Regions from separate parts of the Mus musculus genome. Here regions 2, 3 and 4 are each reported to be linked to region 1. The links are microRNA targets in miRTarBase. Many come from high-throughput screens and were not tested one by one. Region 1 holds a microRNA gene; each other region holds the end of a gene's coding sequence.

Region 1 (8,112 bases):
TATGACATGGGAACTACTATTAAGATTTAATCCCATTCCCCTCTACTCCGACTTCTCTACATTTTAGAAGAGGGCACTATTGGTAAGTGTGTCAGTCAGTTTTTCTGAGATAAAAATACCTGAGGTAATAAAAGTAAGATAGGTTGATTTGACTCACAGTTTGGGGAGTTTCAGCCTTTATCACTTGGCACCATTACTCTGGGGCTTCTGATGGTCCAGCACATCACCATGGAAAACAATCTCCTTCAATGGCATGTTCCCAGTCATGTATTTTTTTCCTACTAGAGCCTATCTCTAAAGGCTCCACCACTCCAACAGCATCTGAAAGCCAAGCCTTTAGCTCATGGGTCTTCGGGGCACATTCCAGATTCAAGCTACAGCAGTCAATAGAAAAGGCAAGAGCAGAGAGACAAGGTTAGAACTTCCAGGCTTGGGGACAGTTCTTCACACTGCACATTGCCATGAGGGTAACATCTTTTGGTTCCCTTTAAATACGTTAAGTGGTTGGGATCAATCCAAGGGTAAAGAAAAATGAGCTAGTGTTGTGATAGTATGATACTCTATAATCTAAAGAAATGTCCATTTTAAGAGAGAAATTAAATAATATGCATTGATTAACAGACTAAGGTAGTGCTATATGTACTAACATGACAATTTCTCCAAGGAAAAAAGTAAGTAAGTGGATAAGATATGCAGTATAAGAGATCGCTAATACAGCGCTCGTTCACATACACATGTATATCACACACACACACACACACACACACACATGTACACACACACATAAAAATAAAAATAAAAATAAAAATAAATTAAGTAGTCGTGAAGGCGGGAGGGTGACTCTGCAGAAATAAGAAATTAAAGGGAATTTTTGTTATTTGTTCCGTAGACTTCTGTACTGTCTTCACTTGGATACACATGGAAAATGTGGTTTTGGGTTTTTTTGAGGGGTGGGTGGGTTGCTTTGGGTTTTGATTTTGTTTTAACAAAAGCAGGAAAAACACTTCCACTTCAAGGTAAATGGCCACAAGAATTCCCCAGTGGTTGGGTAATTAAAGATGACAGTATGGAACTGTGGCATGACAGACCATGTCCCAAGTTAGTGTCCCTATTTCAGTGGGCAAGAAGGTGGACCCATGCTCTGAACCTGAATGGAAAATTCCAGCCAGGCACAGCTTGCTTACACTGTATCTGACAGGAACGCCAGGCTCCAATTGAGCCTCCTAATAAAATTCACCTCAAGCATCAAAAGAAGAAAATATTTTGCACATCTTGCTGTGGCACCTGGGATAAACATACACTTGCATAGTTACCCGACTAATGAGCTCTCCTGAAGATGGTTTTCCTAAGGAGCCAGGAGGAAGGTGATCACAGTGTATTTCTGTTCACAAAAATGCTATCTTGTTCAATCAAGTGCACAGAGGTGCCAACTTCAGCTTGTGTGTGCCTATTTCTCCCCTTCCTTGAGTGTAGGTCAAGATTCTGGTTGCCAGTTTTGTCGTGGTTACTTTTCCATTGCTATGACAAAACACCACAGCCAGACAACTGATAAAAGAAAGTATTTAATTTGGTGATCCTGGTTCAAGAAGGTTAGAGTGGGAGGCCATCTTGGCAGGGAACATGGTAGAAGGCACACAGGTATGGCATTGGGACAGTAGCTGAGAACTTACATCTGATCTACAAGTAGAAGGCAGAGAAAGAGAGAATGGCATAGGCCATTGAAACCTCAATGCCCACTTCTAGGGACACACATCCTCCAACAAGGCCAACCTCCTAATCCTTCCCAAACAACTCCACCAACTTCAAATCAAGCCCTCAAATACGTAAACCTTTGGAGGCATTCTCATTTGAACTACCACATGGCCCTCTAGGGTAGCTTGTTAATTTTACATTTTGTCCCCAGTCTCCTCCTGTGATGGTGTCCCCAGGCTGAGTCTCTGGGCAACTCCACAGGGATGGTATAATACCTGGGCCAGAATCCACTTGCTTTTGCCCCCTAAGGTACTTCCAAAATGACAGAACATACATCTCTCCAGGCTCCAGTGGGGCCACCCTGCTATACCTAAGGGAAAATCATTTCTATTTCCTTCCTGACAGCTCAGCCAATACTATGTCTCTGGATAACCACTGACTGGAAGAATGAGTATCATTTTGCCAAAACTCTATCCTGAGCAGTCAGAAACTGGGTAGTAAGAATGAATGCAAGACAGGAGTAGTGACTCACACCTGTAATTCCAGTGTGCTTGGGAGAATGAGGCAAGAGGACTGAGTTTGAGATTAACTTGGATTCCATATATAATGAGCTCTAGACTAACCTTGGCTACAATATAAGACCCCGTATGAAAAAAATAATAGCAGGGCTGAGAAAATGGCTCAATATTTAAAACAACTGCCCTGCAAGTGTAGGGTCTGGAGTTTGACTCCCCAGAACCCACATAAAGTTTAACACATCAGTACACATCTGTAATCCCAGAGTTCCTCTGCAAAGATAGGCAATAGAGACAGGAGAATCCCAGAGGCTCACAGGCAGCTACTCTGGCAAACAATAAGAAAACCTTAGACAAGGCAGAAAGTGAAGATGGAGAGTGGAGGTTGTCCTCTGACCTCCACACATGTACTGTGTGTATAGGCACCTACACTCACACACATAAACATGCATGCACACAGCAATAGTAGTAAAGACACAAGAAAGAATTGCAAAGCACCTGGGAAGGATGGAGGAAGAGGTTTGCTGTTGCTGTACCCAAGAGCACTCTGAATTCTCTGTGGAGCTTGACAATGGAAGAATCAACCAGGAGTTGGTTGCTCGTATTACACACACACACACCAGCATAGAGCCATTAGGGCAGTCCCTAATCTTATATTAAGAAGAAATGTGGACCCAGACATGTGCAGCCCATGTGAAGACTTCAGAAGACAGGTACCTACAAGCCAAAAAGAGAGGCCTCAAAGATTCCTCCTCATAGTCCTCGGGAGACAGCAGCCCTGCCAACACTTGTGCTGTTACTTTGAGCCTTCAAGATTATGAGTAAATACCTAATGTTTAAGCCGTGTGATCTGTGATGCTCTGTCACAGCATGCTAGTAACATGAAATCGCCACTCATTATTTAAAGGGGTCATAGGTGTTGCTGTGAATCAGTGTGATCTGATTCCCCTTTTCAAGTGTGACTCTGGTTGACCCAGACTACAGTCCATGTAACACCCCGCACCCCCCACCCCCCGGGACAGTGGTTTTAATTTCTCATCTTGAGCATCAGGTCTTCCCTGCAGCCATGGAAAGATGAAGGACAGAGGGACAGGAGACTAATGGTAGAGTAGGGATACAGAAGGTAGGTTGTTCTTCCTCCCATTCCCATGCTCCCAGAAATAAGACACAGACTCAAAATATGTTTACAATACCTTGGCCATACAGCTAGGCTCTTCTCTAACTAGGTCAGAACTTAAAATAACCCACCTATGCTCAACTACATTTTGCCACATAGCTGGTTACCTGTGCTCAGGTACCAGGTATCTGTCTTGTCACATCTTCCCCAGTGTATCTCCCACCTGGCACTATCCCAGAATCCTTTCTACCTCACAGATGTCCTACCTCCTATTTCCTGCCAAGTTATAGGTCATCAAATTTATTACTGACAGTTGCCACATGCATACAGACATAAGATATTTTCTCCCCATAGAGATTAATTAGAAGTCAGGATCAGGATTATATTACTCTCCTAGGGTTCCTCCTTCCTCAAGATTTAGTTTCTATATGTGCACAGTTTAAGCAGGCACAGTCAACTGACTATGAAAGCAGAGACAACAGGAGAGAAGACGAGTCCAGGGCTGGAGACTGGATACCACTGACTTCTGCTTCTACACGTGGAGCAGATATATACAGTATCCTTGAGGCAGAAGGAGACAGACACTCTCATCCAGGGATATAGCTGACAGAGAAGAGACATCCACCCCCATACACACATCTCATCCCATCGTCTCTAACATCTGCATACTTGCACTTCACAGCTCACAAGTCTAACCTTCCCAGGTAACTGGCCCATTTGGGTCTGGTGTACCTTCAATCTCTCTTTTTTTATTTTCTTAAAAGAAACATTTGAGAGCTGAGCATCTAAGATGGCTTTGGATTCACACCCACTGTCTGTGGAACAGCTTGAGGCTGACAAGATTAGCTCGCTGGAACGCTCTGGGATCCGTTCAGCCTAAGCTGCTGCCCACACACCAGCCTTGCTCACAGAAGCTGCTTTCCGCAAGCAGCAGCCCGCTTCACCTCCTCCATCCTGGCTCGTGGAACTGGTCCTTGATGTCCTACCTGGTCTTGAGGACAGTGGCTTCCAGCCTCAACCAGTCCTCATTCCCAGATTCCAGGATGTGACCATGGTGATGTCTCAGCCTCTCCAGAGGAGTCCGAAGGGTGATACTTCTGTCCTTCCTCCTCCCATGTCTAATCACCTGATTTTACAGAACCCAGCATAGCGAGCAGTGCTGCAAGCTTCCTTCCCCTCCCTCGGCTCTCTTCTTCTGTCCCTTCTTTCTGTAATATCCAAGGGGACCAGACAGAGTGGGCCTTGATAACACACATTCCCTTGGCTCCAGAGCAGTAGCTTCTAAAACCTGTAAATAAGACAGCTCTATGCCCCTGTGTAGACATACACCCCAAGGATAGGCTGGCTCCCTGGTACCTGTCCAGAGTTGAGAGTTCAAAAGACAGACCAGTGGATAGAAATGCTATCATGCCCACCCACCCCCACCCCGCCAAGCAAGGCCTGCTGGCTCATGTACCTGGCCAGACATTACATGAGCAACGGGCAGTAATTGTTGTCTAATCTCTTCCCAGAGGTTTCAACTAGTTCCAAACTGTTGTGGCTAATAAAAACAGAGAAGATTTGCAAGAAATTCCAGGTGCATCGGAACACTTTGGGGGATTGTGCAGCCTGCAGGCAGACGAAACTTAACTCAAATAAACATAAGGTAATATGTGTTGGCAAAAGTAACCTGAAGTGGGAGTATACAACTGTACGTTTCAAATTGGCTGCTGCCTGTAAGGATGGAGATTGGTAGTAGCTCAGAATGGATGAAGTGGGCAGAGTAGCCAATGTGCATCCCAGAATAACCGAGGCAAATCAGATCTCATCTCACACAGACCCCATCAGTGGCCCAAGATGGAGCACATGACAGATTCCGCAGTCCCACTTTCTACTTTAAGGATGAGGAGACATCGTGGAGTGGCCTCCAGATTTAGGGGTCTCCTGTGAGCCAGGAATGTGTGGTCATGTTCTCAATGGAGCGAGTAAAAGAAAGTGTCTGTTTTTGTTCATTGAAGTCATTGACTCCAAGCCCTGGAAGCTGCCATGTTACCTCCATCTGCTGCCTAACTCTCAGGGCCACATTTAGATAAAGAGCCGAACTTCTGAACTGCAACAGCCCTGGACTTCAGTCAATTCCCTACTTTCTTACAGAAAAGAAAATATTGAAAAGCTGTATTATGGTGTCTTATATGAATGTGCTAGTTTCCAGGATGGGAGGGGCTGTATATTCACCTATATTCACACACATATACATGTGTGCATGTGATATACATTCATGTACACCCTCCTATAGAAATAAGTGTATGTGTGTGTGTGCATGCATATGTGTATATGTGTATGTATGTGTGTGCATATACACATGGGTGTGCATGTGCATGAGTGCATGTACGTGTATATGCATGTTCTCTATTGATATGTGTGTGTGTGTGTGTGTGTGTGTGTGTGTGTGTGCAGGTGTGTATATACATATATATGTGTGTGTGTGTGTGTGTGTGTACATGTACATGTGAGTATGTGTGTGTATATGTTTGTACATGTGCATGTGTGTGAGTATGTGAATATATGTGTATATGTGTGCATGTGCATGTGTGTGTATGGTGAGTAGGTGTTACTAATTGTGACTCCGATGGCTGTGTCTCCATCTGGCCTAGGTGACAGGTAAGCAACTGCACTGATCTTTCACAGGTAGCAGCAGCCTTATAGGGCAGGAGAAGACTGGCACCTCTGCACTGGCCGTGACCTTACCTGCAAGCCCCCGAGGAACAGGAGCTTTTTTACTCCTCCATCTTCTGGCTTCCCAAGCAGGTGCTGATATCTTGACAGGGAAGGGGAAATGCTCTGTCCTGGCCCTCTTGCCTCACAGAACTAAAAGCTAAACATGGCTTCAACTACCTCAGCGGCTTTCTTCTCCCACAACCACATGCAGTAGAGAGGCCCAGCGCTGCAGAATACATCTGTGATAGGAGAGGAGAGCTTGGATCTGGAATGTTCTAGAAAGTGATGGAATAATTTGAAATCCAAACTGTCTAAAGGCTGAAGAAGAAAGGAAGCCATTGCCACCTGCAGGAAGCAGCCAGGTCCTTTTGACCTCTCAAAGTTCTTGGCTGTGAGGTTCCATCATTCAGCTGATAAAACAGAGGAACAAATGTTACACAGGGAAGTTCACAGGAAAAGGGTCAGTACAGAGTGTGCAGAGCTTCTGGTGGTATAAAAGCCAGTCACTGAAAACTAGGGACATGTCCTCAGTCCTTGAGACCTGAAGTCATCTCTTCTCTTCTAAGCATCCATTATACCCAGGATTCCACAGCCCTAGGCCTTCTGGAAACAAACTTCATTTCCCCAAAAATTGTCTGCTACCCTAATGCCACCGGAACAAGTTTTTTAGCTCTTGGGTTATAGCTCAATGATGAAACACTTGCCCAGCATATACAAGACCCCAGATTCCACCTCCAACAACAACACAAAGCACGCCAGTACATCTCAGCCTGTGCAGAGGCTCAAATTTCGAAGGAAATAGGAAATAGATTCATTCATTCATTTAGTGACTCTTTCTCTTCTGCTGTGTATGAGACGCTGTGTTAGGCAACACCAGAAATAAGGTAAAGATTTAGCAGGTGACCACAAACGAGAAAGTGCAGTGCGTTCTCCACTTTAATCAGAGCAAGCCAGCAAATAAAATGTTCTAGGCAGTTTGTCTTGGCACCAGCCACAGGAATTTACCTGTGACATCCTAATAAAGAGGACACTGAGACATGACATCCACAAGGACTTGATTGGCTCTCCTGGAGCTGATTGTGCACACCAACCCCCAGGAAATAAGGCCAGGAGGTCTGTGGTGAAGCCTGAGTGTCCACGGTCCAACTGGGTCCTGGGTAACGTGGAAGCTGTTGTGAGTCTTGTCCTCAGAGACATGTATATAGAAAGACTCTAGTTCACCTCACTCTACTGAGCTGCATCTTAGGAAGGGCAATTAAATCCTAGCTATCACCCTGCAGCTGACAGGGCACACACACACTGCCAGCTCTCAACTAACTGGTCACACCCAGGGTATTTTCAGGCTATTATTATTATTATTATTATTATTATTGTATCTCAGAATATTTATATGAATAGCAGAGGAAAAAATATTTATTTACTTCCTTTTAAACATTTTTTTTTCTAAGTCTAACTTTTCATATTGTTGGGAGGCTACAAACTCAAGATTGTTTCCAAGGGATACCTGGAAAGCTAGGATGTCACCAGAATGTAGGACCATCTGCTACAGCAGATACTACTTCCTCCCTTGAGCTGAGAGACTTGGAAAGATTGACCCCAATTAAGAAGATGGGGGAGCAGGCAGGATGAGGAGGGAAGGAGGGAGGTTTTAGATAATGCGATGGTGTATCTAAAGCCACTGATTCGGGAAGAAACAGAGAGAGAGAGAGAGAGAGCACACCAGATCCAGCTGGCCTCTAGCTCTCTTTCCCTCCACCCAGACTGATATGTGTGAGCTGTCCTCTCTCCTCCTCCAGTTGTCTGCACAATGCCACCGCTCAGGTCACCCCATGTCACTGTTTCCTTCTGCCCTTGCCAGGGCCCACTGTCTCGCTAGTTCATTTCACTGCATTTAGCACCGACAGTGACCCACAGAAGAAAATACAGTAGAGGACACAGCCAATACGAAGCCCCAAGGCAGGAACAGCTGCTATCATGTAATCAGTAAGGGCAAGAGGATCCAAAAACAAGCCATTAGAGAGAATGCCACGAGGTGGGCCCTCGAGAGTGCTTTGGAGTCTGTACCAGTCATCAGTTGCTGCATGGCAACCA
Region 2 (8,112 bases), not on the chromosome of region 1:
GACGCCGCGCACCGGGCCGTGCTCCTCCGGCATCCTCTCTGCCGCTGTCATCACCACCGTCACCGCCAGCCGCGGAGGACCTTCCCGAGCCTGAAGCGCCCGGGATCGGAGCTCAGGGAGGCGAGCAGGCGAGGAGGGGGCCCGGGGCGAGCGGAGGAGAGAGAGCGAGAGAGCAAGAGAGAGAAAGAGAGAGAGCACATTGGCGTGAGCAGGGGGAGGGAGGGCGGGCGCGGGGGGCTGCGGGCAGGGCGGGGGGTGTGTGCACGTTCGAGCTTTCGGGCCACAGCCACCGCCGCGCAAGCTAGAAGCGCCCTAGCCCGGCAAGCTGGCTCACCCGCTGGCCACCCAGCACAGCCCGCTGGCCCCTCTCCTGCAGCCCATCTGGCGGAGCGGCGGCGGCGGTGGCGGCGGAGGCAGGAGGATGGCTTCAGAACTGGCAATGAACAATTCCGACCTGCCCACCAGTCCCCTGGCCATGGAATATGTTAATGACTTCGATCTGATGAAGTTTGAAGTGAAAAAGGAACCGGTGGAGACCGACCGCATCATCAGCCAGTGCGGCCGTCTCATCGCCGGGGGCTCGCTGTCCTCCACCCCCATGAGCACGCCCTGCAGCTCGGTGCCCCCGTCCCCCAGCTTCTCGGCGCCCAGCCCGGGCTCGGGCAGCGAACAGAAGGCGCACCTGGAAGACTACTACTGGATGACCGGCTACCCGCAGCAGCTCAACCCGGAGGCGCTGGGCTTCAGCCCGGAGGACGCGGTCGAGGCGCTCATCAGCAACAGCCACCAGCTCCAGGGTGGCTTCGATGGCTATGCGCGGGGAGCGCAGCAGCTGGCCGCGGCAGCGGGGGCCGGCGCCGGCGCCTCCCTGGGCGGCAGCGGCGAGGAGATGGGCCCCGCCGCCGCCGTGGTGTCCGCCGTGATCGCCGCGGCCGCCGCGCAGAGCGGCGCGGCACCCCACTACCATCACCACCACCACCACGCCGCGGGGCACCACCACCATCCGACGGCCGGCGCCCCGGGAGCCGCGGGCGGCGCGTCTGCCTCTGCGAGCGGCGCGGGTGGCGCGGGCGGCGGTGGCCCGGCCAGCGCCGGGGGCGGCGGCGGCGGAGGCGGCGGCGGGGGCACGGCGGGGGCGGGGGGCGCCCTGCACCCGCACCATGCCGCGGGCGGCCTGCACTTCGACGACCGCTTCTCGGACGAGCAGTTGGTGACCATGTCGGTGCGCGAGCTGAACCGGCAGCTGCGCGGGGTCAGCAAGGAGGAGGTGATCCGACTGAAGCAGAAGAGGCGGACCCTGAAAAACCGCGGCTATGCCCAGTCCTGCCGCTTCAAGAGGGTGCAGCAGAGACACGTCCTGGAGTCGGAGAAGAACCAGCTGCTGCAGCAGGTAGACCACCTCAAGCAGGAGATCTCCAGGCTGGTGCGCGAAAGGGACGCCTACAAGGAGAAATACGAGAAGCTGGTGAGCAACGGCTTCCGAGAAAACGGCTCGAGCAGCGACAACCCTTCCTCTCCCGAATTTTTCATGTGAGTGTGACACGCGATCCCAGCTAGCCACCTTGTTAAATGCTCCGTGGGGGTCCCGCTCCTGAGTGGGCTTGCTAGTTGCAGGGCCAAGCTCGCTCGGCCACCACCTCGCCCCCTCCCCTGGCGAGTTTGCTCCCCTTGGCCCTGAACAGACACACACACACACACACACACACACACACACACACACACACACACACACACCAAGCTTGTGGTGGTGGTGATGGCTCTTTTGAATTGGGGAGGGAAAGGGTGTCTGGCTCATGGATTGCCAACCTGAATTCCCCCGTAACTTGCTAGCTTGGTTGTTTTGTTCTTTTTTATTATTATTATTATTATTACAACTACTACTCTTTTTACACCGCCTGCCCCACACATACCCTGGACTTGCACAAGGGTCAAAGATCTGAGCAGCATACTTCATGTAGGGCATAGCTCACCTTTGAACCGGGCCATCAATTGCCTGTATATATATTTTTTCTTCTTCTTCTTCAGCTCATGAGCTGGTGTTCATTCTGTGTGTGTGTGTTTGTGTGTTTTATTTTGTTTGGATTTTCTTTTTTCTTCTTCTTCTTCTTTGTTTTTGTTTATTATTACTATTACTAATTTTTTGGAGCTTGCTGTGTTTCCCAGCCTCTGCCACCCCCCACCCCCACCCCTGCACCATGTTCTTGAGATAAAAGGAAAAAAAAAAAAAGCAGGGTTTTTTTTTCCCCTCCTTCTGAGTTCTTCTGATTGAGCTTGCAAAGGAAAAAAAAATGTGAAATGCTATAGACCTTGCAGCGAGCTGAGTTCCACGGGGGTTTTATCTTAGCATTGTTATGCTAAAACAGAATGAACTAAAGCCACTCCTGAACCTGCCACAATCAAGCCTACATCAACCTTCTGGGTGTGACTTGTGAGTTTTGGCCTTATGATGCCAAATCTGAAAGTTTAGTCTGCCATTAAACAACAAACAAACAAAAACACAAAAACAAACTTACTCTCATCTCATGCATTACGATGCTTGCTACTTTGTCTTAGCAACAATGAACTATAACAGTTTCAAAGACATTATGGAAAAGAGACATTATATTAATAAAAGAAGCCTGCATGCTGGACATGTATGGTATAATTATTTTTTTCCTTTTTTTTCCCCCCAATTTGGCTTGGAAATGGACTTTTGAAGACTTAGCGCATGACATCCATACTTTTGATTTACAGCCTCATGACTTTTTTGAGTTCCAAACAACAACAGAAAAAGTACAACCCCAGAGCCTTCTTCCCTTGACAGTTTGCTTCTACTCCTGACTGCTTTGAGTTACAATGAACTTCAGCCTCCCGTTGTACATGCACTGAAGGCGTTCCTTGTCAAAGATAGCAGAATGGGCTACAAATTTATATGGCAAATATTATAGAACGTAAATTAAATGTTTTCTTTTTAGAAACAATGATGCCTGCTTTGGGGCACTTTAAATTGTGCTATTGCCAAAAGCAGTCTAAATTTTCTTTGAAAAGAAAGAAAAAAAAAATCTGCCCCAATTATTTTTTGGTTGGTTTTATTTTTTTTTATTTTATTTTTTCTATTTTTTTTTTAATTTTTTTGGTTTTTGGTCATTGTCAAATGTGGAATGCTATGGGTTTCTAGTATATAATTTAATTCTAGATTTTATAATCTGTTAGCCCAGTTAAAATGTATGCTACAGATAAAGGAATGTTATAGATACATTTGAAAGAGTTAGGTCTGTGTAGCTGTAGATTTTTTTAAAGACCGATGCACTAAATTGTTTACTGTTGTGATGTTAAGGGGGGTAGAGTTTGCAAGGGGACTGTTTAAAAAGTAGCTTTCTGAAGCATGTGCTTGCAACTTAAATATAAGTTGGGTATGTGTAGTTCTTGCTATACCATGGACTGTATTGAAAACCAAAGTATTAAAAGGGGAAATGCCCCTGTTTATATCTGTAGGGGTATTTTACATTCAAAATGTATGTTTTTTTCCAAAATTAAAGTATTTGGGACTGAATTGCACTAAGATATAACCTGCAAGCATATAATACAAAAAAAAATCGCAAAAACTGTTTAGAACGCTAATAAAATTTATGCAGTTATAAAATGGCATTACTGCACAGTTTTAAAGTGATGCAGATTTTTTACAGTTATGTTGTGGTGCAGAACTGGATTTTCTGTAACTTAAAAAAATCCACAGTTTTAAAGGCAATAACCAGTAAATGTTATTTTCAGGGACTGACATCCTGTCTTAGAAAGAAAGAAAGAAAGAAAGAAAGAAAGAAAGAAAGAAAGAAAGAAAGAAAGAAAGAAAAGGAAAGGAAATCTTACCACAATAAATATAAGAAATCTTGTCAGTTACTTTTCTTTTACATATTTTGCTGTGCAAAATTGTTTTATAACTTGAGTTACTAACTAACCACGCGTGACGTTCTACATGCTTCTCTTTCATTTTCAATTCTGGTTATATCAAGAGAAAGAATAATCTACAATAATAAACTGCATTTTTTTTGATTCTGTTCCGTTTCTTAGTGTACAGATTAACTGGGTCCCATGTCTTGGAGCTTGGATATGAAATACAAAATGCATTCTCTTTGATTTCTGAACAAGGGAGTTGGAGGCAGGAATTCTATTCTGAGAGGCAGGAGATTGACACCATATAGTCAGTAACAATATTTAATATTAATACAAATTATGACATCTTATTTTTTCTCCTCACAGATCTTAGTTTCCTAATAGGCTGAGCTAGTAAGGAAAAAAAGTGAGAAAGAGGGACAGTGAGAGAGAAAGATAGAGAGATAGACAGACAGACAGACAGACAGACAGAGACACACACACACACACACACACACACACACACACACACACACTGAGAGCACATAGGAGCTTTCTGAACAGGACTCTAAGCTTCTGACGAAGGAGCACAGATAGAGGGACTGGGACCAGCAAGTCTGGCTCACCAGAGGTGCATGGGAACATATGCATTTAATGGTAAAGATAAATAATTCTTGCCGTTTGGCCAAAATTGATTATTTTTTCTTCTTCCCTTACATGTTGTGATTTTCTTGTTGGCACAGTCCTGACAAGACTAAACATAAACACTTTGCACAAATCAAAGTTGTTTGATTTTGCTCTTTTTTCCCCCTGTCATTTTTTTTTAAACTTTTCAAGTCACTTGTCCTAAATGGGAAAAAGAAAGTCTATCATTTGCACACAGAGTTTCCAGTTCACACCAGGTTTTATCTATATTATCTAACTATATTTCGAATAGTCAAAGAGCTGTCTCCAAGCATATAAGCTAGGGATAACTACATGAGTCCCCCAAATATAAATATACAAAGAAAACAACATTTTCATGGGGTGTAGGCGGTGCTCTGATATATTGCTGTTTGCCCCCAAAGCAGGTTATGAATGGGGTCTAATTGAATGATCACTTGGAAAAATATCTCAATTACCTTCAGTTGAATTCCTAAACCCTGACCCATTTAAAACTGACACAAATTCCTGCAACCATGTTACAAATACATGGCATTTTCTCTTTCGGTAGGACTCCCTGAGAATTAATCCCATAGTAGACAAAGCCAACACTGTTTTGGAAATATAGCGAAACACAAATGACTTTTGTCTGATTATGTTTTCGATTCTTTTTTCTTTTTTAAAATACTAGCTAATATTGCAACCCACCATGCAGGCCTGATTTCTAAGGAATCGGGTAGCCCTTCAGGCTGGGGAATCCTGGCCTGTTTCTCATGGGCCTTGGCTCTTTTGCACAGAACACAGACTGTTTACACTTCCTATGTTGGCGTCACTCGGTGAGCTTAGACGTGAGTCCTCAAAACACTTAGTTCTGCTTGACAGAGAAATCTTAATGGCAAAACTTCTCTTCTATGCTCTAAGTTAGCCGTCCTCAGCTTTAGAGATTTTCATCATCTGACTACAGCCAGAAAATAGGCACACATTACCAGTCTGGCGAGGAGGAAATGGGTATATCACTTGGACCCAAAGCTCAGCACCAGAAGAAAGAGTTTAGGCAAATATATTCTTAGGCACAAGAGGCATTTGTAACACGATGGTCGCAGTTGTTTATCAAAGAGTAAGACCTGGGTTGGGGTGGGGGAGATGCAATTATATATAATAATTAATCACTTTGATAGAGTTCTATAAAGCAGTTCAATATCAGAAGCCAGTTTGGGCCCTGGACATTAGAAAATGAGACAGCACCATCAGAATAAAGAGGAGGCGGAGTGACTGGCTCAAAGCAAAAGTTAACCTTCACTGAAAAGCGCTTTCAGACACGAGAGACTTCAGAAGATAATACTAAACAGAACTAAACGCAAAAAAAAAAAAAAAAAAAAAAAAAGACGTATCTTGTCCAAATGCCCATGAGTACAAATAGATTCCCAAAGGTTAAAAACAAAGGAAGGAGAGAAAGAGAAAGAAATCGAAGAATAAGAAAGTCTCCTTTTCCCCTTTCCCCTGCATTTGTCTAAATAGTGTTAAAATTCCTATCATTCCAATAATGAAACAGCCCACTGGCAAGTTAGAGTCATCAGCGGGATATGGCACATTTGGGAAGCCCAGCCGCGTGTGCCCAGTGTGAGTGTGTTCATAAAATATGGGATGCCCATAAGATGAATGCAAGCTGTCCATTTGAGAATATTGTTTGTGATTCTGGGGAATGATTCCCATTTTCTGTCCTTTCTAAAGAAAAATGTGTTCGAGAAGAAGGCTAATAAATATGTAGCCACCATACTAAACAATTAAGTAACTACACTCCTTGTCTGAAGGACTCCCAGACTCCCAGGAAAGGGCCTCTGCACTTAGCCATGTATCAGGCATACAACCAAACAGGTGTGATAGCTTTCCAGCTGTGACAATCGTTTTTGTTTTTGTTTTTGTTTTAATCTATTGGAATTAGCACCTCCATGTGTGCGCGTGTGCATGCGTGTGTATGTGTGTGTATGTATGTGTTATACCAACATATCTATAAAGAAAACTTTCCCAAAAGCAAACAGCTAGTATTTTTAAAAGCAAATTCATGCATGCACATTCCTGACAGTATATCTTCATTTTTATTGTTTTCCTGGCAGAGAATTATACTAAGGGGGAAAAAAAAAAGCAAGAATTTGACTTCTCTCCCCAAACCCATGTTAGGGGCATCAGCTTTCTGTGGATGGGGACACTTTAGGTTTTCAAAGGTCCTGGTGATACTAGTATTGATTGGTGTCAAACGTGTCATTTGTCAGACATAGCTGTAAATGAAACCAATTGTGGTAAAATACAGTTAGGTACACACCTTCCGGATGCTCCTCCGGCACACCCCCATATACAGTGTTTTTTCCTCTGAGGCGCTCAACAAAAATCACTTACTTTTAATTTCCTGGCATATGTATATTTCCCCTTTTCAAAAAAAATTCATAAAATATCCAACATATTAATATATTGATATCAAATAGTTGCAACCTCTTCCCAACTGATAAATCATGTGCGCATTTACAGCTTGGTGCCTGAACCACTGAGACCCCCTTTCCACACAGACACTACCTACAATGGGAGATGCTGTTTTTTTGCTGAATGTGTCTGGTGCTAACACCCTGTTCTTTCCTCCCCTTTACCTTTACCAGAGTCCTGTTTATGTGGTAACATCACTTCTAGATTTGGGGGCTTTTAAATAGGACTTCCTCTGGCCAAACCACCAATGTTACTGTTAAAAGCATTCAGATAGAAGAATGGTAGTCACCTTTACGCAGTTCGGCTCTCCAGCCAGGTTCCCTGCGTTTCCTTGTCTCAGTCACAGAAGTTGCTTGTGACGCACCCCAAGGCTTAGGAGCACAGAGCTTTCAGGGTCTTTGTTGTCTTACCCTGCTCTGATTGAGGGAAACTTACCCCCCTTTGCTTACACATTCTTAGCTTGATAAAATACTACTGATGTATATCAGACCAACCCATATTTTTAAAAGTCTGATTGCAACCCTGGCATCATTTGTTTGTTTGTTTGTTTGTTTGTTTGTTTATCATGAGTGACAGCATTTAGACATCTGATCACTGCATACCAAAACCTCCCACTGCCGCTCTGAGGCCTTAATGCTCCTACAAACTGTCCATGAGAGAGCCATCAGAAGTCAGCCCCCCTCGCAGCCCACTTTGGAGGGCTGATTTGCAGGACTTCCCTTAGGGACTGACTTACATTGGATTATAAAACTAATAATTTACACCCTTTCTTGGAAGAGGCACTATCGTTCCATTGTGTTGTTTTGGGGGATTTAGGGAAGTTTTCTCTGCAGTCGAAGGCTGTGGTTTCTACCACTTCAATTGATTCTTCAAGATCCTAACTGAATAACATGGAGTCTGTGCTTTCCTTCAAAACGCTGAAGTTTATTTGTGTTCTCAGCTGATCCTCAAGCTCAGAGATGTCCCAAGTCCAGAGTAGAGCAGCCATAGGGGACAGGGACAGAGTCCAGGGTCCTGTGAGTGGAACCAGGATTTGTTTTTGAATTTGTCTAAAACAGGAAAAGCCTTACTCTGCCTTCTCAAAAGGTAGTTTTTATCACTTTGAATACAGATCTTTAAAATACCAACATTAAAGGCCCCGGGAAG
Region 3 (8,112 bases), not on the chromosome of region 1:
GTAACGTGGCCATTATGCTCTCTGTCCTCTTACTGTTTGGTTGTTGACAGATCTCTCAGCTCTCTGTGAAGATATCCTGCTGTCCTCGCCTCAAGGTCCTCCGGCTGGAAGAGAACTGCCTTGAGCTCAGCATGCTTCCACAGAGCATCCTCAGTGACTCCCAAATCTGCCTGCTTGCTGTGGAAGGCAATCTCTTTGAAATAAAGAAACTTCGAGAACTAGAGGGTTATGATAAGGTGTGTATTAACATCTTTTACATTTTTAGTGCCTGCTCCAGAGAAAAAACTAATGAGATTAAACTTAAGTGATGTCTACAGTTAGCATTTGACAAGTTTGTTTTGGAGGTAGCTCTAAGACTTGGCCAGACTGTATTGTGCCAAGTGACTTTCTCCACATATTGATTATCGCACTGCATCTTTTGATGTTTCCTAGCCAAAAAAAAGAGGCAAAAATTAATGAATTTAAGTAGATTTTGCCAGGTTTGGAGCAGGGTTTTAATCCTAGCACTTGGGAGGCAGAGGCAGGCAGATCTGAGTCCAAGGCCAGCCCAGGGCTACATAGTGAGATTCTGCCTTGAAAAGGAGTTAGTTTTGTATGAAATTAATCAAGTCAAATTAAAAAGAAAAAAAAAACATAAAAACGTAAGTCAAAAAGTATCCCTGGGGGAGGGGGGGCTGGAGAAATGGCTCAGGAGTTAAGAGCACTGACTGTTCTTTCAGAGGACCAGGATTCAATTCCTAGCCCCCACATGGCAGCTCCCAACTATCCATAACTCCTGTTGCAGGGGATCCAACACCCTCACACAGATATAGATGCAGTCAAAACACCAAACTACGTAAAATAAAAATAAATCATTGAAAAAAAAAGGATTCTTATATTTGTCTACACCAAATGCCATATGTATAATTTTCTTTCATGTTTTTAGTACATGGAGAGGTTCACAGCCACCAAGAAGAAATTTGCATGATATTCTCCAGGATCATGGGACAGACTTGGAACCTCTGTTGAAATCTGACTGAGTCAAAGGCTCCTGATGTTGGATACACTGCAGAGAACATTTTACTTAATGACTTTTTCCTTTTTAGGACTATGTCAGATAAGCTGAAGGAAAGGGATTTAGGAGTAGGAGACAGGAAGAACCCTTCATCTTGAGCCGTGTAGGTCATGGCCAGTGTTGATCTTCAAAACTATCATTAGTTGGGCTCTAAGGAACCTGCTGTTCATGAAGGGAGGAAATGCTGCTTGCCATAGCTGGAGACTTTGAGTTTGCGAACTGTCAGCTTTCATAAAGTCTTTCCCATCACCTCTGTGTTAATACTTCATATTTTTTATGAAATTCTAATTTGTGGGAAACGTATGACTAAGGATGAATGTGTTTGTTCCTGTACACTAACTCAATAGCAGTGTTTACACTTGGAACTTAGGATGTACCTAAATATGTAGCTGTCTTGAAGAGACCTTTGTCAAAGGAGCACCAACACAACAGCCACCGAGAATGTTCCCCAAGGCTGCAGTAGCAAATTTTTTTTTTTTTACTATTGCAGGTGCCTTATTGGTAGAAGGCTCTGAAAGAGCTAAAACTATATGCAAAAATTATACAAAATTTTTGTTTTTAGACAGGTTTTTGCTATGTAGCCCAGGCTGGCCTCAGACTCAAAATCTCCCAACCTCACACCTCTCCCCTCCCCCACATGCTGGGATTGTAGGCATGCGCTACACTCAGCCTACTTGTAGGATTTTAAATTAATTTTAATAATCAAGATTTTCCTGAAGCTTTGTTAAAAATCATGTGCTATTTCTGGTAACTCCTCCCCCTTTTGTATTTATAACTGTACTAATCAGATTACCTTCAAGAAAACCATTGCTACAATATTTTAAAATAACTTATGTTTATCATAGTTACTCTCTGAATGAGAGAATATTCTAAATAAAATATTTTTAATGAACTTTGTCTGGAAGTAATGTTAATCAATTAAAGAACTTTTAACCTAACCTCCATGGAGATCCCAACACCCTCTCTCTTTGCTCTCTGAAAGTAAACTGGGTACCATTAAAAAAAAAAAAAAAAGAAGCCTGTCTCAAAAAAGCCAAAAAGAAAGACAGGAAAGAGAAAATTGGGATATATTTCACACTCTTGTTTGGTTTTATGGCAATGAACACCTTTGCAGCCATGCAGACATTTCTGAGGAACTGGGAATTGTGCTTAAGAGAATGTGAAGGTACAGAGACAGGATTTCAGATTGTTACTGGTAAGAACGTCGTGAAGCTATCATAGAGATTGTTTTCTGAAGTCTTCTGTCTGAACAGTGCCTTTCACTAACAAATCTGAAACTATAAATAACTTACATGTGTCTGTAAGAATCAGCAAGTAGCACCTTTTTCTTTAGTCTCAGTTGTATGTCCAACCATACCAAATTATACTGCTCCAGAATGCCTTCCTGTTAGTAAGTCAAGACATGCCATCTCACTTACATGGTGCTGACCCGTATCTAAGCTCCTTCCCTTAATCTAATCCGAATTAGCTGCTCCCCCATTTGCTGATAGAATACTTTCCACATCCTATATTTATCTCTCTTGCTAATCTGAAGTGCTTGAGGTTAAAAAACCATATAAAGGGACTGGAGAGAGAACTCAGAGATAAAAAGTACTCGTCCTTACAGAGGACCAGATTCAGTTCCTCCACCTCCATGGAGGTCCCAACACCCTCTTCTGGCCTCTGGGCAGTAGGCATACATGTGCTACACATACATACATGCAACCTTAACACTCATAAACAAAATCTTTTTAAAAAACAAAACAAACCTACCCAATATGCCTTAAATTTTAGTTTGGTTTGGAGTCAGCTAGTACATGGAGTTAGATCACAGGCATTGTACTTGGAGGAATCAACATATAGATCCTTTGCTACTTAATAGCTTCCTGGGCAACTTACTCTCATCTGTAAATATAGGGAATACCTCTCACTTCTCAAGTATGTATTATAGAGAGAAGATACATAAAAGTGACACAGCAGGAACTCAGTGAAACAAACAAACCATTTATCTTATCTATAGAGGAAAAAAAAAAGATCAATCAATGACTTCAGGATAAGGAACCTGAATATCAATATGAGAAATAAATTAGGAACCTAATTAGGATAACTTGGAATTTTAATTAAGAGCATCCAGGAAAATGGCATTCAAATAGCTTTTGCTTTTTATTTTCATTACATTTTTTATGTATATGTGTACACAAGCTTGCATCCACTACAGCACATGTGGAAGTCAGAAGAATACTTTTAGGAGTTGGCTTGCTTCTTCTACCATTTAGGTCCCGGAGGAGTTCAAACTTGGGTTGCCAGCCTTACCTGCTAAGCCATATTATTGGCCATTTTGGTTTTTGGGTGGTGTTTCACATATTCCAGGTTGTCCTGGAACTGAGCCTGAGGATGACCTTGAGCCCCTGATCCTCCTACCCAGGGCTGCGTTTGGAGGGCAACCACCACACCTGGCTTACACGGTAGTCCAGAGCTGAATCCAGTTTTTGAATACTAGGCAAGCACTTCATGAACTGAGCGGTTCTACATCCCCAGTCCTAGAAACTTAACTTTATATGCTCATAATAAGATGTTTAACTTAATAGAAGAGTCAGAATCCATATGTGATAAGGAAAGATTAAGAATTGACTGAAGAGGGCTGGAGAGATGGCTCAGAGGTTAAGAGCACTGGCTGCTCTTCTGAAGGTCCTGAGTTCAAATCCCAGCAACCATATGGTGGCTCACAACCACCCTTAATGAGATCTGACGCCCTCTTCTGATGTGTCTGAAGACAGTTTCAGTGTACTACTACTACTACTACTACTACTACTACTACTAATAATAATAATAATAATAATAATAATAATAAAAGGCCGGGCAGTGGTGGCACACACCTTTAATCCTAACACTTGGGAGGCAGAGGCCGGCGGATTTCTGAGTTCAAGGCCAGCTTGGTCTACAGAGTGAGTTCCAGGACAGCCAAGGCTGTACAGAGAAACCCTGTCTCGAAAAACCAAAAAAGAAAAAAGAAAAATAAAAAAGAAAGAAAAAAGAATTGACCAAAGAATACATTAAAACTGAAGAAGGGATGAAATAGGTACAGCCGTATAAGTTAAGATGAAATTTGGGCTTTAAAATTTTTTAAAACGTAAAATTTTGAAGTTGGGTGTAGTGGCACACTTGATTTCAGTATCTGCGGAGTAGCGACTGGTAGATCTCTGGGTTTGAGGTCAGCCAGCTTTACATGGTGAGACCCAGTTTAAAAAAATAAAAAGTTGCCAGGTGGTGGTGGCACACACCTTTAATCCCAGCACATGGGAGGCAGAGGCAGGTAGATCTCTGAGTTTGAGGCCAGCCTGGTCTACACAGTGATTTCTAGGACAGCCAAGGCTACACAGAGAAACCCTGTGTCAAGAAAAACAAACGAAAACAACAAACAAAAAGTTTGGTACAAGATACTAGCTCTTATCTGTAATCAGGTATTGTATTCAAGATCACTATACTAGAAAACAGACCAAAAATAAATCTCCAGCTTGTATTTACTTGCTATCGTATCTCAAAAATAATGGAAGTGGTGCGCATGATGGTTCAGCAGGCAAAGGCACTTGGTATCTGCTTCTTTGCTTTTTCTCTGGAGAAGGGGAAACCTAAGATCTTTGACCAAAAAGAGCTTCCTCCAGTCTAGAGAAAATAGCTATCATTTATGACAGTTACATCTTATAGGCACTGTTCTAAGAGTTTTGTTGGTTGATTCTTTTTTTGGGGGGAGGGGGTGCTGTTTTTTGACACAATTTAGGCTGGCCCACAACTCACTGGGTAGATTGTGCCTCAGGTTCCCAAATTTTGGGATTACCAGTATGGACTCTGAGCCTGGCATATTCTAAGAAATTTCTGGGCATTACTGGTCTGTGAATAAGTTTATAAAATAAGATTTATTAATCCCCATTTACAGATATGGAAACCAAGACAAAGAAATAGCATACATTCACACCAGCCAGCAAGAGCAAAGGGGTTTTGGTGCATATTCTAACCAAATATACCTTGGATGCCACCTTTTGGTACCGTTCCTTTAGACAAATCAGCATGTTTTTAAGGAAAGCACTTTTAGGTACAGCACAATTCAGTGTTTTGGACTTAGCCACACCTCTTAAATTCAGTATCTTTACCTGACAAATGAACCACTCTGACATGGAGTGCTTCTTTGATTTTTTTGTTTGTTTTTCGAGACAGGGTTTCTCTGTATAGCCCTGGCTGAACTGGAACTCACTCTGTAGACCAGGCTGGCCTCGAACTCAGAAATCTGCCTGCCTCTGCCTCCCGAGTGCTGGGATTAAAGGTGTGCGCCACCATGCCAGGCATTTCTCTGTTGTTTTAAATACTGTCCTCTTCACCCTCTGAATGTTGGTAGGCTACATTTATCTTCTTCAATAAGTGACTTGTAATTCTCACTCAGAAATACTCAGTAGTGTATTTAAGTACAAATGACTAAGATAATGTCTAGAATGGACTCATAGCAAACCATAGAAACTCCTGTAAACACTTCTGCTAAAAATTAGAAGAGAGCTAATACAGCTTTCTATTGGAGTGCTTGATGTATGGACATTTGCTTTATTTAATGTCAACAGAAGCTGATAAAATGATTGCCCCCACAAATAAGTCATAGAAACATTACCTATTTGAAAGAACAATATCATTAATTATAAAATTTAATTGTAAGAATAAAGCAATGGTTATTGGTGAAACCAGTCTACTTTAGTAGCTCTAAAGTGTACAGATGCTAATTTTTAAACAAATGTGACAAATACCATTTCAGCTTCCCTAACACTTCAGGATCTACATAAACTTGATTCTGTGCATAAGGCAGAGAGAATGGCAGTGCGGTCATCAATAATTAATATAAAGGCATAATTTTCCAAACAACTTTTAGTAACAAATTATGACTTTTTAAATGTTTAAAACTACACAAAACTCAAAGCAATCTATTTTTCTACCTGAGATCAAAACAAGTTTTTTTCATATCTAAACATAATTCTTAGTATTGAGGTAAATCTGAATTCACATGATACACTGTAAAAGTTTCCCCAAAACTTTGAGGAAATCTCCTATTTCATGTGTGTGTGTGTGTGTGTGTGTATCTTTTAAAGGCTACCGTCAACTTCATGAAGTTAACAGGCCTACAATGGGACCATGCCATGACTCATTGTGTGAGAATAAAAGGCACTCATTTATATAATGTTCCTGCATGTGCAATATGAAACTGGATCCAAGAACCTATGTATATACGTACAAATCACTATGGGTTCAGAAGTGAAGCTCACTTCTAGAAAACTCATTGTATTCTCCTTTGGAGCAGAAGCTGAAAAACAGTGATGCAGAACAAAACACATGTGTGAAAGCTCCCACCCCAAGCACTCGTCTGTGTTTTTGTGACCTGTAGTTTCTTTAATGAGTCAGCTTCATTTCCTATTCCTTCCTCTTGCTCTTTACCACAAAACCAAAACCAAACCAACCAACCAATACCAATAATGACAAAAGCTACTTATACAGCTGCTTCTTTCATGGCTCTTTGGCAATGCTTCCAAATCTTGAACGCAAAAGAAGCTAAATGAAGAGATGAAGAGACGGTGATGTATGGAAAGAAGCCTATGAGAGTGACTGAGAAAGACTGTAAGGAAGCCTGAGCAAGAACCTACCCCCTAAAGACAAAGTAAGAAAGTAGCGAGGCATTCCTCCTCTGCTCCTTCTCACAGCCTTTCAAACTCTGAATAAGAAATGACTCAGCGGAGCTAGAGAACTGAGTTAACAGGTAAAGAAGTACAGCAGGGCTTTAACTATCAATGAGTTTCTTTGCTCTTGTATTGGCAATGTCAATACGATTCTTGTTGGTGTCAGCCTGAAAAAAAAAAAGAGAAATAAATATCAGCCTCTGTTCACAAAATAACCCATTTTGAACACAAGTTAAACTGGGGGAATTCAGGTGCAGCTCAGTTGGAAGAGTGTCTACCTAGCATGCACTGGACACTGGGTTCAATTTCACAGCACTGCATGAAAAGTGGCATCACGGCCTGTGCCTATAATCCTAGCACTTAGAAAGAAGAGGCAAAAGGACCATAATAGCAGGGTCTTCCTCAACTACACAGTGAATCTGAGGCCAGCCTAGGCTACATGAAATTCTGTTTCAAAAATCAAGTTTATAGAGGCTGGGGAGAAAAGAAAAAAAAATCAACAAATTTAATTTTAATTGAGGATATAGCTCAGGGGCAGAATATATGATTTGCAATTCTATGGACATATATTCACTCCCCCCCACACACACACAAATACACAAAGTTTTATATATTTGGGACCTAGATATGGGCATGTAATTGCAGCACTCAAAAGGATATGGCAAGAATATCATGAGTTCAACACCAGCCAGGGTTATAGTCAAATTGTCTCAAAATAATAACAGAAAAGAGGATGAGGATATATATAGTTCAGTGGTAGATTACTCGGCTGCCACACACGAGGTCCGATATTCAGTCATCAGTGCAATAAAAAACATAGTAAAATTTGATTTGATTTTTTTGAGACATGGTTTCTCTGTGTAACCTTGGCTGACCTGGAACTCACAGTCATCTGTCTGCCTCTACTTGTCAAGAGTGCTGGGATTGAAAGTATATGCCACCAGACATCACAAAATGTAATGAATGTGTATAGGTATTTTGCCTGCATACATGTCTGTGTACCATGTGCCTATGGAAGCCACAAAGAAGATGATGGAACTGGAGTAAGCCACCATGTGGGTGCTGAGAATTGTTTCCCAGTACTCTTGAAAAACAAGTGCTGCCCTGCCCCCTGACACCCCAGGGTTGCAGACACACAGCACCATGTCTAGGCTTGTATGTGAGTACTTAGGGTCAAATGCAAGTCCTCATGCTTGCATGGCAAGTGCTTTCCAACTGACATCTCCCAAGCTTTTCTACTTAGTTATTTTTTGAGACTAGATCTTATTACCTGGGCTGGCCTTGAGTTTATGAGTTCAAGTGATCTTCCCACTCCTCTGGAGTGGCTGGAATTACAGGCATCAACACCACGTCCAGCCCATTTTCGATGCA
Region 4 (8,112 bases), not on the chromosome of region 1:
CTTCGTGGAGAATTCAAGGACAGTCTGGAACACAGGAGACCCCATAACAAATAAACAAACAGACAAACACAACAATGTCTAGTTGTGTCTTGGTGTCTATGGGAGTTGGTTTCTGGACCTTCCTTGGATGCCCAAGCCCCCTGTGTGAAATGGTGTCCCTGTTTCACTCACCCTCCCACACACGTGACATCATCTCTGGATGAGTTGGGCACCCAGTGCAGTGAACACCACAGAAATGGTTGTTTGGTACTGTAGGGACAATGACCTGGGAAGGGTGGGCATGCCCAGTACAGCCTGAGCTGTTTGGGGTGTTCTGACTTGTGTTAGCTGAGTGTGTCCATCATCTACTGGTGCTGGGTGCGTGGCTCTCCTGCTCTGCTCTGACCTTACTTAAATCTTGTACAGGCTGGCCTTCGGGTCCATCCAGCAAATATGTGCACCGGTGACAAATATGTTCCCCTGTGCATCACTAGCTGGTTTGTTCAAACGTGACTTATCGCCTTTAATCTCAGCATGAAGGGTGGGGCTAGCCAAGCCAGCTCACCCCGGGTCCTATGTCTAGACCTGCACTGTCCGTCAGGACCTCATCACAGTGTTACCTTCTGATTTCAGGAGTGGGCTGTTGGAGAACCGGAGAGGACACAGAATGGCCGACGCTGTGCGCAAGTGTGTGAGGAAGCGCGTCAGGTGTGAACTCGGCACCTAACTCCTCAGAGGGCCGTCTGGCTTCTCCAGGATCTGAGCCTGAGGGTTTTTATACGGCCCTGAATAGTCTCTGGTCCTGAGGATGGCGATCGTTATCTCTGGCTCCCCTGGTAGGCTCCGGAACAACAGGGTCTGAAGAAGTGCTTGGGTGAGCCAGATACTCAATGGGAGCCACTTTTGCAGGCCAACTGTTGGCAGATGCAGGACTTTAGAACGTCATTCATTAAAATGACCATTGCTTCCACTCCCCAGGAGAATAGGAGGGAGATGCGTGGGACCCTGTGAATGAATGAACACACTTCCCCTTAGTGGAAATGGGCTCAGAGATGGACCATGGTTCCCATCCATGATGTACATTCAGCCTTGTTGTAACCTCAGAGCTCCACAGTGGAGTTTTCAGGGAGACAAGTTCCATCTCTGGGGACTTGTCAGTCACTTCTGAGCTCCTTGAGGACACACACCAGGGCTGGATAATGTCAACCATGCCAGGGCCTGATGGTGGCCACTGTGGGCCTTGGACTGCATTAGGCTCAGTGTACTGCCCATGTTGCCTTCAGTGCCATCGGGTCCAGATGTCTGCATTCGGGGGAGGATTTCTACCTGAGAAAGTGGGCCCGACACTTTATGTTCCCTGAATGCTCAGCAACATATGCTGTGGGGTCTTATATTTGTCAAAGCGTGCAGCTCTTTGCTCATTTCTACATACATGCACACATGCATGTGTGCACACATACTTCTCTCATTTTCTCTCTCTCCTCTTTCCTTCACCTCTTCTCTTCCTCTCTCCCCTTTCCTCTACCCATTTATCTGTATATATATGTGTGTGTATGTACACACACACACACACACACACACACGTTGTGATTGTTTGTATATGCTAGGCCCAGGAAATGGCACTTTTAGAAGGTGTGGCCCTGTTGGAGTAGGTGTGTCACTGTGGGTGTCTGGCTTTAAGACCCTCATCCTAGCTGCCTGGAAGCGAGTATTCTGGTAGCAGCCTTCAGATGAAGATGTAGAACTCTCAGCTCTGCCTGCGCCATGCCTGCCTGGATGCTGCCATGCTCCCACCTTGATGATAATGGACTGAACCTCTGAACCTGTAAGCCAGCCCCAATTAAAAAAATTTTTTTAAATAAGACTTGCCTTAGTCATGGTGTCTGCTCACAGCAGGAAAACCCTAACTAAGACACACACACATATATCATACATATACATATCTACACAACCACACACACATGTACACTCACACATACATTCTATTTCCTTTGATTCACTGCTGTATCCCCTACCAGCCTGTCCTCTCTTGTTCCTTCCTTTCTCCACCCATCCAGCATGCTTTCTGCGGGACAAACTCTGTGTCGTGCTTGGGACATTAAACTGAGGCTTGGTTTCAGCCTCAGGGAGCTGCTCTCTCTGGGTGGGCTGCCCTGAGTGTCTCCTGCAGTTTCTCTTCGTCTCACACACATTGCAAAGAGGGAGGGGCCCGACTGTGAAGAAGCAGAACTTGCAGCTCCATACAGGGACATCACGAGGACCCCGTTTGCATATGGGGGTCTGTGAAGGAAGCCCGGACCACAGACATGGACTGAACATCTGAGGGGTGCTTTGTGTGGGACCCCACACATTCTTTAACATGTAGTTCATGTGTTGTGAGGATTTCTTGTTTTCTGTTTATATGAAAATTAACTCATAAGTATCTCTGTGATTTAGTAACATTATTGCTCAATAAAGACCTTCCACATGTTAATAGCTTAATTTTAGGACTTTCAAGGTGCCCACGGTGTTGGGAGAGGCTCTCTGGATCAGAGCAGTGCCCACCCTGGTATTGGCACAGCAGATGCCAGCACTAGGCTGGTGCAGGGTGCCTTCTGGGGAGGACACTGTGGGACTTCTTGATTGTCAGTGTGCAGTGAGCCTGTTTATGCAAGATCATTAATTCTGTTTTTACTCAGGATTTTTAATGGACTTGCCTCCCTCACCCACTTTGAAACAGGGTCTTGCTGTGTAACCCAGGCTACACAAACACACCAGCTTTCTGTCTCAGGCCCCAGAGTGCTGGGATGACAGAGTTTTAAACAGCTGCTGCGAATACAGTTTACTGAATGTAAAAGTGATTTTCAGGGCTTCTGCAGCCACCGCCCCAATCTGTGCCCAAAAGAAGTGTCGTGTCCATCGACCCCCTTTCCCTTCACTGCTCATGATCCCTAGGTCACTGCTCACAGACACGCCTGCTCTGAGCATGTCACATAACTGCAGTCATACCTTAGAAGTTATTGGCAGCTGGCTTTCTTCAAGTAGGATGACAATGTTCAGAGGTCTTAACTGTGTTCCAGCATATGTCAGCACTCCGTTCCTTTTCAGGGCTGAGTAATATTCCACTGCATGGATCCATGGTGCCACATTTGTTCATCCAGTCCTCAGCTGATAGGCTTTTAGATTGAGTTCTAGCTTTGCCTGAGACAATAATATTGAGATCATTGCTTTAATTTCCATTTCTTCAATTGTCAAGGAAAGTGGAAACTTTTTAAAATATTTATTGACCCTCTATGTTTTTCTTTCTTCCTCTCTTCTTTTCTTCCTTCCTTTTCCTTCCTTCCTTCCTTCCTTCCTTCCTTCCTTCCTTCCTTCCTTCCTTCCTTCCTTCCTTCCTTCCTTCCTTCCTTCCTTCCTTCCTCCCCCCCCCCCTCTCGTTCCCTGACCAGTTTATCCAATGACTATTTTTGGTGTTTAAGTTTTGCAGGTTGTTTTTTTTTTTTTTTTTTTTTTTTTTTGTATATTGTATATACTAAACCCCTGTGTTATGGTTGATTTTAATGCCACAAAGTAGAATCACCTGACTAGGGAGCCTCTTTTGAATGAAGTGTCCGTCCTGCTTGATGTGGCAAGACCTACCCTGCCTGTGAGCAGCACCTTCTGGTAGAGCCTGGATAAAAGGGTTTGCAGAAGGAAGCTCACCTGCATCTGCACACTTGGCCTCCCCCTGATGGCTGAGTGGATTTGCCCATTGCTGCTGCTGCTAATTCTATCACAGACAGCAGAACCATTGTCTCCAGGCCTTCCCTGTGGGCTAAGGACCAGTGTCTCCCCAGGAACCTTACAGGTTTCCAGCAACAGGTTGGCCCTGCTGAAGTACCCAGTCGTGTGCACGGAGAAGCTACCGATTCCCTGTCCTGCTTCAGTGAGAGAGACTGCGGGACTCCTACTGCTGAGGTACCGGCCTCTAGGACTGAGTAACTACCAGACTCTCAGCTTTTAGGTGTGATCCTGCTGTTACTACCTAAAGCTGACCTACTTCTCTCTCTCTCTGTCTCTCTGTCTGTCTCTCTCTAATCTATTATCTATCTATCATCTATTGATTAATAAATGATAGATTAATAGATCTATTAATAGATCTATCATGTCATATCAATCATCATCCATCTATCTACATCTATGCATTATCTATCATCTATCTTATCTATCTATCTATCATCTATCTATCTATCTATCTACCTATCTATCATCCATTCTCTGTCTGTCTGTCTGTCTGTCTGTCTGTCTGTCAGTCTGTCTCTGTATGTGTGTGTATGGTCATGGTTCCTCCTTCCAGCAATAGAACAATAGGACAGAAGTTGACGGCAGGCATCTGTGGCATCGCTGTGATAGGCCTGACATTCTGTTTGTTGGAAGAATATGGGAGACTTTGGGAATTTGAAGTAGAAAAGTGAATGCTTTAGTGCTTTGCATGAATTAGCTTGAATGCTGCGGGAAGTGTGGCTGATGGAGCATCCTAGTAGGATCATGGAGGGCAGGAGTACGAGGTCGGTGTGGACCCTGCAGGTGCACCTCAAGACGTTTCTGAGGGCAAGAAGTAATAGCAAGTGGCCTACAGAACATTCTTATAATGGGTTGGCAAAGAATGTATGTGTCTGATTTCTGGCTTTGTTTTAAAAAAATCTACCCGAGCACTATTGGAGAATTTTAAATTAGTGTCCTTGGCAGAGGAGATTTCGAGACAGCCTAGGATTGACTGTATCACGTGGTTACTAGTGGGCACTCTCCTGCAGATCTCCGTGGAAAAGGAGGAGCACGGCAAAGAGAAATAAAAATGAACATCAGGAAATGGAGCCAAACTCTGTGCTCGAGGGGATAGTTTTATAAAAGGCTTGGTTTAAAATGGAATAAAGGAATTGGTAACCTCAGGGCAAGACCCACCCAGCTAATCCTGCAAAGGAAAAGACTTGGGGGATTTTTTTTAAGGCTTAAATAACAAAGGAAAGCGTCCAGCACCAGCAAGCAGCAGAATTTAGCAGCTTCAGCTATAAAACTTTATGAAGTTCTGGCTTTATCAAGGAATATATGGGAAAGGGGCTCTGGAACCTTCCTCTGTGGCTAAATAGAAAGCCAAGGAGGCACAGGAGTCCCTGCATGAAGGCCCAGAGAAGCCATTACACGAAGCTGTGAAAACGAAGCTTGGATTTTATTGGAAACTTCAAAATGTTGGAGATGCCAAAGCGGTGGGATACCTGCCAGGAAGAGCTGATAGCAGGGAGTGGAACCAGTCCAAGGGAAAGAAGTGTGCGGCAGTCAACGGAGCTGGAAGGAGTTGGAGACCTGAAGAGCACTTTGACATCAGACATGGGGCTGCAGAATTTGGCGTCTGCCCAGCTGGCTTTCAGTCTTGCTTTGGTCCAGCATCTCCTCCGCAGGGCTCCTCCTCCTCCCTGTTGGAATGGTAAGGTAGAATCTGTGCCACTGTATGCTGGAAGTACGCGATTTGCTTTTTGTTTTTTATAGGAGGTTACAGTTAAAAGATCGCAAGAATCCCAAGAGACTTTGGACTTTAAAACAGCGTTGAAGTGAAAAGACTATATGGGGATCTTTGAACTTGGACTAAATGCATTCTGCATTATTATATAAGCCACTGAGGGCCAGGGAACAGAATGTGGTGGTTTGAGTGAGAATGGTCCTCATAGGCTCGGTGGTTTGAATGCTTGGTCCCCAGTTAGTGGAATTGTTCGGGAAGGATTATGAAGTGTGGCCTTGGTGGAGAAGGTGTGTCACTGGGGGTGGGCTTCGAGGTTTCAAAAACCCATGCCAGGCCCAGTGTCTCTCTCTGCCTGCTGCCTGCTGCCTGCTGATTATGATGTAGCTCTCAGCTTCTTCTCCAGCACCATCCCTGCTTGCTCCCCTGCTCCCCGATGATTATGGACTGACCCTCTGAGGCTGTAAGCAAGCCCCCAAATTAAATGCTTTCTCTTAGTGCCTTTTCACAACAATACAACAGCAACTAAGACAGTGTATGTGTTTTTAGGTGTACACACACACACACACACACACACACACACACACACGGCATCCCATTGGCTCTGTTCTTTTTGAGAATACAGATTTATATACCCTGTCCATAGGAGGCAATCTGAACATTTGAATTTGCAGTTCTCTTTGTAGAGAGTTACTCACTTGCAGCTAGAAGGTGCTCCTTCCCCCAAAACCCTGGGGCAGGGGATGGAACCCAGGGCCTCCCAATGTCTAGCCAGGGTGTCTTCTACCCTGCCCTGAAGATGTAGTTTTAAATTAGGCCCTTGAGTTTTCATCTTGAGAAGCTGTGTGTATTAGTCAGAGTTCTCTATAGACAAACAGAGAATGAATCTATATACAGCAAGGAGATTTATTATACTGACTTACGGGCTATGGTCCTGTTACTGCTAACAATGGCTGCCTAGGGATGCAAGGTCCATGAATCTCATAGTTATTCAGCCCACAAGGCCGGGTGTCTCAGCAGGTCTTCAGTATACAATGGGATCCTGAAGACATAGATCTTAATGCCACATTGAACTTGCCAGAGAGCGAGCGTGAGGGCCAGCAGGCAGAGAGCAAGCTCCCTTCTTCCATGTCTTTGTATAGGCTGACAGCAGAGGGTGTGGCCCAGATTAGATGTGCGTCTTCCCACCTCAAAGATCCAGACTAAAAGTGAATCCAGGTGTGGCCTCCATTTTTGGGTTTTAGTTACTTCCAGGTGTAGTCGAGTTGGCAACCAAGAATAGCCATCACACCGTGAGATGCAAGTTTCCTGTGTCGTCTCTTCCTCTTCGGTGTCTCCGCTTCAGAGCACAGACTGCTGCAGGAGAGGGAGGAGAAATGAGTGCCTGCTGTCCTGAGCTTGCACCACCACACGAGAGCAAGATGTCTAAGGGTATCCCAGCCCCAGCTCTGGCCAGGGGAAAGCCCTGGGTCAGCTTCAGACAAGACATTAGGAAGGAGTAATTTCCTTCGATGTCACAGCGTTGAGGTGTTTCTGTGAAGGGTCAAGGGCTGCTTAACGGAACTGGCTAATCCTTTGTAACCTCATTTTCTTCAGACATGTCACATTTCCTCGAGGCTCTTGACAATGAGTAGACAGGGAAGGCAGAATGGGGGGAAACTACTAAGCCACAGGACAGAAAACTGTGGAAAGCCCTAGTGATACTGGAAACACAACTTAAGGCCAGAATGGGATGTCCCTTGTCATGCAGTACAATAGCCATGACTGCCCAGGGCCTGGCCCTCTGAGATGGCATGGCAGGGGCTGGGGGTTGGGGGGGGGGGGGTCTGGGATGTGGGGACATGGAGTCCATAAGCAACACCATGATGATTCATTTTAAAAATAAAAATAAATACTTAGGGTTTCTTGCTCTTTCTTTTGAGACAATGTTTCTTTTCTTTTTCTTCTTCTCTGCACAGCCCTGGCTGCCCTGGCGCCCATTCACTCTGTCGACCAGGCTGGCCTTGAACTCAGATTTGTCCACCTCTGCCTCCCAAGTGCTGGGATTAAAGCTGTGCTTTTTCTGTTTTTGACCTTTCTAACCCTAATTGGTCTTGTACCAGCCCACCTTCTGCCTCAGTTTCCTGAATTCTACAGGATTCTACAGTTTCTATGTTAGGAAAAAAAAAGATCAAGTTTTGATTCTAAAGGCCTGCCCGCTGCCTTTTGATAGATAACATTGGCCCTGCAGACACTGCAGTCCCAAGCCTCAGGGACTTTGCTGGATGTGTATGGACCAACAGCCCCATGAGGATCCCCTGAGAGCTCGAAGGGTTAATTCCAGACACGGAAGCCTTTACTCGGTAAATGTTCCATCCGCCTCATTCTTGACTGTGCAGGCCACTCTTCATTTACTGTTTCCCCGTCTGTGCACTCAACAACTCCCGGAAAGCATGCCATAAAAAGCTGCCGGTGCGACCAAACACGAAAGCCCGTTCTCCCCTGTCGTTATGTCCCCCAGTGATGCAGTTTAACAACTATCCACACGCCATTTAAGCATCAGATTCTGGGTGTCACCTAGCAATAGCCTAGTCTTCGGGAGAGTTCGTGCAAATTCTATGCAAATACAGCATTTTATATGAGACTGGAGCGTCTCAGATCCTAGCATGGGAGGGTTGTCTTAG

The links. Region 1 holds the annotated microRNA mmu-miR-466i-5p (UGUGUGUGUGUGUGUGUGUG, at 5,780-5,799, shown strand). A microRNA usually pairs through its seed, bases 2 to 8, with sites in the 3' UTR of a target mRNA and lowers its output. Matches are read on the target gene's strand: a 7mer-m8 pairs with bases 2 to 8, a 7mer-A1 pairs with bases 2 to 7 and ends in A, and an 8mer does both.
Region 2: miRTarBase lists Maf as a target of mmu-miR-466i-5p. Seed matches in the 3' UTR shown: 7mer-A1 at 1,683-1,689, 8mer at 1,684-1,691, 8mer at 1,686-1,693, 8mer at 1,688-1,695, 8mer at 1,690-1,697, 8mer at 1,692-1,699 and 18 more.
Region 3: miRTarBase lists Snap23 as a target of mmu-miR-466i-5p. Seed matches in the 3' UTR shown: 7mer-A1 at 6,142-6,148, 8mer at 6,140-6,147, 8mer at 6,138-6,145, 8mer at 6,136-6,143, 8mer at 6,134-6,141, 8mer at 6,132-6,139 and 3 more.
Region 4: miRTarBase lists Fam169b as a target of mmu-miR-466i-5p. Seed matches in the 3' UTR shown: 7mer-A1 at 1,159-1,165, 7mer-m8 at 1,160-1,166, 7mer-A1 at 1,537-1,543, 8mer at 1,538-1,545, 8mer at 1,540-1,547, 8mer at 1,542-1,549 and 13 more.

What each region holds. Positions count from the first base shown.
Region 1 is chr3:85,461,603-85,469,714 of GRCm38, forward strand. It overlaps Mir466k (microRNA 466k), which reads left to right and starts at 5,775; the gene lies at 5,775-5,896. Gm31419 (a long non-coding RNA gene) reads right to left here. Exons shown (of 6, transcript XR_001783866.1): 2 at 158-374.
Region 2 is chr8:115,699,173-115,707,284 of GRCm38, reverse strand. It overlaps Maf (avian musculoaponeurotic fibrosarcoma oncogene homolog), which reads left to right and starts at 391. Exons shown (of 1, transcript NM_001025577.2): 1 at 391-4,032. The coding sequence starts at 422. The coding sequence ends at 1,534.
Region 3 is chr2:120,598,072-120,606,183 of GRCm38, reverse strand. Snap23 (synaptosomal-associated protein 23) reads right to left here. Exons shown (of 8, transcript NM_009222.3): 8 at 5,462-6,908. The coding sequence ends at 6,843. It overlaps Lrrc57 (leucine rich repeat containing 57), which reads left to right. Exons shown (of 6, transcript NM_001159612.1): 5 at 51-236; 6 at 926-1,946. The coding sequence ends at 967. Among named protein-coding and RNA genes, the nearest start is that of Lrrc57, 7.2 kb to the left of the region's middle.
Region 4 is chr7:68,360,630-68,368,741 of GRCm38, forward strand. Fam169b (family with sequence similarity 169, member B) reads left to right here. Exons shown (of 9, transcript NM_001374636.1): 9 at 613-2,452. The coding sequence ends at 693. Among named protein-coding and RNA genes, the nearest start is that of Gm16158, 11 kb to the left of the region's middle.